2 linked regions of the Danio rerio genome follow. The protein of the gene in region 1 purifies or fractionates together with the protein of each later gene. This does not show direct contact. Links are inferred from orthologs where the notes say so. Each region holds a gene or a part of one and is shown in the gene's direction. Other genes may lie near its edges.

Region 1 (3,840 bases):
CAATAGGGGTTAATTTTCAGAGATGTACACAGTTTGAAAGTTGAATAATTAAGCTTTAATGTAGGATTTGTTAAGATGGGACAATATTTGTCTGATTTTGATAAGCTGGAAAATGAGGGTTCAAAAAAATCTAAATATTGCATATTTTTCACATTTAAAGTTGTCCAAATTAAATTCCTAGCAAGGCATTTTACCAAACTAAAAATGTGTTTTGATATATTTACCCTAGGAAATTTACAAAATATCTTCACAGAACATGTTTGCTTTATTGAAATTCTATTTTAAGCTGCTTGGACATAATTTACAATGTAAAAGCGCTGTATAAATAAACTTGAAGTAAATTAAATTGAATTATTATGCAGTTTTGACTTAACATCCTAATGAAAAACAATAACTTTCATTATTTTGATTTTAAAAAAATATACATGTGCAACATAATACTGGTTTTGTGGTAAAGGGTCATATATAGTGTTTATTAATTAAGTTTATTAGTAGTAGAAACTTACTAGTTTTTCTTAATACTTAACTAACATACAGTTTTAACAGAAATATTTTATTTAAATTTATTAGTAAATGTTGAAACTAATGCAATTAATTAATGTTTAATATAATATATGCTATGTAAAATAATTTTCATTATTAGTGTGAACAAATTTTAGGTCGAAATTGCAATTTATTTGGTCAGTTACTCCAGACAGTTCGCATTAATGTGTCTCTTGTGTTTTTTTTTTAGATTGGAAAAGTCTGTGTGGAGAACTGTCAGAAGTTTAAGGGCATTGATGTGACCTATCAGTTAGAGATTGTCGACAGGAACATCACTGCTGAAGCTCAGTCCTGTTACTGGGCGGTTAGTCTTGCACAAAACCCGAATGATAATACAGGCGTTCTCTATGTGAACGACACCAAAGTGTTACGCAGACCAGAGTGCCAAGAGCTGGAGTATGTGGTCATTGCCCAGGAGCAGCAGAACAAGCTTCAGGCCAAGACACAGCTCACCGTCAGTTTTCAAGGCGAAGGTAAGCTTAAACGTTTGCAAGACTAAAGTGGAGATAAAAATTTGAGAACAAGCTAAGCAGTGATGAAAAGATCACTGAAAAGTCCTATTCAAGTAAAAGTAAAATTACTTGCCCAAAAATCTTGTGCAGGTAGAGTAATAAGAAATAAATGACATTGATGAAAGTTTGGTCACTGCAGGCTTTCAGTCAAAATTCTCTTAAAGACATGGGTGTAAAGTAATAATTAGTGTAATTGAGTATTTTTTTTCTGAGGAATTGTGCGTTACTAAGTGGTGAGCACTTAACTTTTACAGTACACTTCTGCAGATCCTCACTTGTCTTTTGATTGGTTTAAATAAACTGGATTTTCATGTGTAGATTGAGCAGCAATCCTAACAAGTCTTGAGCTTGATTTGTGGAGCTTAGTATCTGTTCTAAATACTAGGTACAAATGAAAAGTAACCATTCTTAGAGTAGTTAAGAGTAGTGAGTATTACAAAAATTGTAGATCTGTTAATGTTATTCACTTTGAAGGTTCACCAAGGTTATGCATTTTGACTGGTTATGCATTAAGCTAAGAGTGTCCAGCAGTTGACTCCTCAAACCAAGCTCAAGACTGGTTAGGATTGCTGCTCATGGAGATATTGTTTATTTAAACCAATCAAAAGACAAGTGAGGATCTGCAGAAGTGTTTTCAGATTAGTGTGCCATATGCATTAGACATTTAGCCACAGGTCTGTGGGCGGTCCTTGGTGTGACATGATTTGATTGGATGGGAATCCTGGAACTGATTATTCTACTTAGCCAATAACCGTGGACAAGAAAAAATAAACATAAAGTAGTGACTGCAGGGTAAAATAGCACAGTAAAAGTACCGATATAGAACTAAAAATGTACTCCAGTAAAAGTAAAGTGCACACCACTTAGTAAAGTTCAATTCCTCAAAAAAAAAATACTCAATTACAGTAATTAGAGTATTTGTAATTTATTACTTTACACCGCTGTGTTTAAGAGAATTTTGACTAAAACCCTGCAGCGACCAAACTTTCATCAATGTCACTTATTTCTTCACAGTCTTAAAGAAGGCAACAACTTACTCCCAGGTGCTTTACGGATGATTTTAATCATTTGAACTTGAGCAAACAGGAGTGAAGAAGTGCTACTGTAAATATTAATATCTAGATTATTATCAGCACAATTAAAATGATAAATATTTCTTTCTCAACTAGCTAAAATATAGGTATACATTGCATTTATTTTAATTCAATTAACAAAAGGAATATTTCTATCTTTAGTTACCTAACAAAAGAAACATTTGCTTATGTTAAATGATACCAGTCACACTTTACAATAAGGACCCTTTATTTAATGTATTACAAGTGTCACTAATAATATGTACACACTAAAACATAAATGGGAGAATTATCTGAGATTTAAACAGTTTGAAAGTCGATTAAATATGCTTTAATATAGGAAATGTTAGTTTAAGACAATATCTGGCCAATTTTGATAAGCTGGAATCTGAGTAAAAGTACTGATATAGAACTAAAGAATCTCTAAGAATTTAGACTGAAAGCCTGCAATGAACAAAATTTCATCAGCAGAAAGCAGCAGAAAGTTAAAACTGTAAAAAAAATGAATACTTATTAAATAACTAATTACAAGAGGTGTTCATTCCGCTGTGGCGACTCCTGATGAATAAAGGGAATAGGGTGAAGGAAAATTAATGAATGTTTGTTTTCAAAACCGTGAAAAGACTGAACCCAAAGTGTGTCCACAAGTCAATGAAAGGTGAGAAGTATAAGTGTCATGAATTGTGTTTTTTTTTTTTGACCAATTCAACCTTCAGAAACGTTATCTGTAATCTTTCATCATGCAACAATCATTTCTGTTCCCTAATCATGACCACAGTGTTTTCTACAAAATAAAGAGTTTTTAGTTGAAACTTCTTGTTTTTTTTTGTTTAACAGTTTTACTACACTGTAAAAAAATGTTACTTTACTTTAAAAAGGTGAATAAACCCAATAACTTAAAAGCAACAAGTTGATTTTACTTTAAAAAAGTCAGTAAACTCATTGACTTGACTTAACTTCTATAAGTACACTATAAAAACTTATTAGTTACTTAAAGCAAGTAAACCAATTGCCTTAAAAGCAACAAGTTGACTACACAAAAAACAATATAAGTAAATCAATTGTAACTTGGAACTGTTGAGTTGACTTAATTTTTAGAATTATGTAAATTGTACTCACTTAAAAATAATAATAATAAAAGTAAACTTATTACTTTTTTTCAATACAGCTTTATTATATTAGTCTTTTCTAGCTTTTCTGTATCTAGCAAAATGACATACAGTAAAATATATCTGCTCTTCCAGACTCCAGTGTGTCGTCTAAATTCCATACAGGCTATAATTGTATATTTTATAAACTTAATGAAGCAGCAAATATATAATATTTTAATTATTACAGTATTATTAGAAAACAGATGAGCTAAAATAGTCTGACACTGTACAAAGGGATTAGTTGATTTTAAGAAGGGAGTATAATTAGCATAATTATTCAAATGAAGTCCACATAACAGTTCCAAGTTACAATTGGTTTGCTTACATTACTTTTGTAAAGTCAACTTGTTGCTTTTAAGGCAATTGGTTTACTCGCTTTTAGTAACTAATCACTTTTTACAGTGTATGCACATAGGTTGTTTACCTAATAATTATGATGCAATGAGTTTACTGTTTTTTTAAGTAGAGTCAACTAATCACTTCTTACAATGTAACACAGTATAGCCACAACTAAAATTCCTTCAAATATTGAATGCTAAAGATTACATTATTTCTGAAAAA
Region 2 (2,494 bases), on another chromosome or scaffold:
ATGTTATGTTGTCTTGATAAATGTCACCTTTACTTGAAAAACTATTGTTTTTATATATAATATATTTGTATAGTAAAAAACAATACAATAATTTCTGTTTTTCAAAATTAATTTATAAAGAACTGTTGAATTTAAGTTTCTGTGTAACTGTAATGGGTTATATGCACATGGACTTTTAATTTTAGTCAGCCAGCCTCAGCAATCTTTCCATTTATAAAATTGCCATGTTAAGGTCTGATTTCTTTAAAAAATTAATGATATTCACTGCCTGATAGATATAGGATATAAAGTGGATCTCACACCGGCCAAGAAGAACTGCGTCAAATTCCATTTCCCGCCATCACATCTTAAAAATGTGGCCGTTTATTTTACCCCAGTGTTTCTACTGTCAGAGTTTCTGCGCTCGCCTGCTGATCCTGACTGCTAGTGGTTACTTGGTCTTTAATTTCGATTTCCCTTGAACAACTAAATAAATGAATAAGTCTATTCAACTGAATGTACTTTAACTACATTACAACATGGATGATGTAAAAGAAGCCATATGAAATTGAAAATAGTCACATTAACCTTTTACCCTTGTTTGTAACCCACAATCAATTTGTACATAAACGAAATATGGCAAAGAGAATGGGACAACTGCATAAAAAATAAATTACATGAAATTAACCCGTAAATAAACAAAAGGCATTTAGCAAATTATAGTTTTGAGACCAGACATGATCAAACGGTCTATACCAGATGTCGAATCGGACATTTTAGGTTTGCTGAATAACGAAGAATCACCTAAATGTAATGTACTGCCAGGCTGCTCTTACCATAAAACAGATTTTGTTGGAATGTAGAAGTTTAAAATCCATTTGACAAAATTTTTATAAGGAGGGTATTTTGATGGACATCTTTAAAAAGGTACCACCCGGAAGAGTTTTAAATTATTTATCAAAAATTGAACTGAAATATCATATTTAACTTTGAAAAAGAAATGTGTGCCATTTTATCTATTAATATTTTATATATTTGTCTATGTAACTTTTTTTTTGTAATATGAATTTGTTTTTATCATTTAATATTTTATGTACATCCATTTTGCCACGAAATAGCCATAAGTTGCTGATGTGGCAAGAAATAAATAATATATAAATAAATTAACCTTTCACAGGAAGTTTATCATTGGCTGAAAAACAAAAAACAAAAAAAATCCCTTACTTTTTTTTTTTGAGGATAAGTAATTTAATGAAAGTAACTTATTACAGCCAACCCACCTTCTTATAATACTGTGTGTTGCCATGTTTCCCCAGAATCCCTCACTCTGGACATGGAGTTGAGCTCTGATCATGCGTCACCCATGAGAGAAGGGTTTGCAGCCTCCACAGTCTCGGATATGGACACCTGCCGAAATGCTTAGTTTTCCAAGATTTTAGTTTCATTTTTTTTTTTTTTTTTTTCCATTGGGAAAAGCAATTTTCATGTATATAGTGAGCTTAGGTGCTACAACTGCTTTCTCTCTCCGAGCCAAATTTTGCATTTCTTTTTTTGATTTTACAGTCAGTCAAAAGTGCAAACAAGCTAAAGTTTTCATTTCAACCTCGACAATACTGAAGTTGACTTTAAAATTAAAAAAAAAAAAATAATAATGGTTACACTGTAAAAAATGCTTTTCTTGTTTAAAGTTTTTGTCTTGTTTCTAGTCCAAATATCTACAAAATCTTAAAGGGCACCTATTTTACCCCTTTTACAGGATGTAATAATCTTTTGGTGTCTCTAGAATGTGTCTGTAAAGTTTCAGCTCAAAATACTCATCAGATTATTTATTATAGTAACCAGAATCTGCACATTTCGGTGTCTGAATACAGTGTAGCTGTTTCTGTAGCATGTCTTTAAATGCAAATAATCTACTTCTCCCCACCCACCGTTTCCACATGCGTGTCTGCTTCTATTACACCCCAAGACTAGGGGAAAACAACATGGGCTTAATAAACGGGGGAAAAAGTGTTGTGGGTGGTGGATTTCCCAAACAAAACAAAAAACTTGATGCAAAAGATCCCCCTCGGACATTCAGATGAGAGTGGTTGATAGATTTATTATAGAAAAATAGGCCAAAATAACAAACAAAAGACAAAGTAAATGAACTAAATTACTTATGTATATTTAAAGAAAAATACAAGAAGCTTACCTTCCTCCTTAAATATAAACAGTCAAAAGTAATCAAATAAATAGGCAGGCCACCTCTACAAGCTCAAACTCTCAAAACGTTGCAAGCATGAACAGTTGTACAAGACTAAAGGTTGGTCGTCTGCCGGAGAGGTAGGGAAAATCCAGAAGCTCTCCACTCCCAGCAACCCTTGCACCACAAATGAGCTCCCCGAACCCTTCCGTAAGTTCCTTTTAATAGGCCTCTGCGACCAGCAGTCAATCAGAGCTTGGATCACATTAGAATGGGATTCTATGGAATAACAGAAAACAACAGAAAATGCGGAACACATGCAAGACACATGCA

Evidence for each region.
Region 2: the proteins of ret (region 1) and stat3 purify together in Homo sapiens (affinity purification with western blotting; 3 studies listed by BioGRID and IntAct, with this or other methods). This does not show direct contact. The link is inferred for Danio rerio from reciprocal best matches to the Homo sapiens genes RET and STAT3.

The regions. Positions count from the first base shown.
Region 1 is NC_133188.1:28,812,879-28,816,718, reverse strand, and holds part of ret (proto-oncogene tyrosine-protein kinase receptor Ret precursor), read left to right. Parts: intron 1-733; coding exon 734-1,016; intron 1,017-3,840. UniProt on the Homo sapiens protein: Receptor tyrosine-protein kinase involved in numerous cellular mechanisms including cell proliferation, neuronal navigation, cell migration, and cell differentiation in response to glia cell line-derived growth family factors (GDNF, NRTN, ARTN, PSPN and GDF15).
Region 2 is NC_133178.1:15,780,207-15,782,700, forward strand, and holds the end of stat3 (signal transducer and activator of transcription 3), read left to right. Parts: intron 1-1,295; coding exon 1,296-1,402; 3' UTR 1,403-1,842; downstream 1,843-2,494. UniProt on the Homo sapiens protein: Signal transducer and transcription activator that mediates cellular responses to interleukins, KITLG/SCF, LEP and other growth factors. Once activated, recruits coactivators, such as NCOA1 or MED1, to the promoter region of the target gene.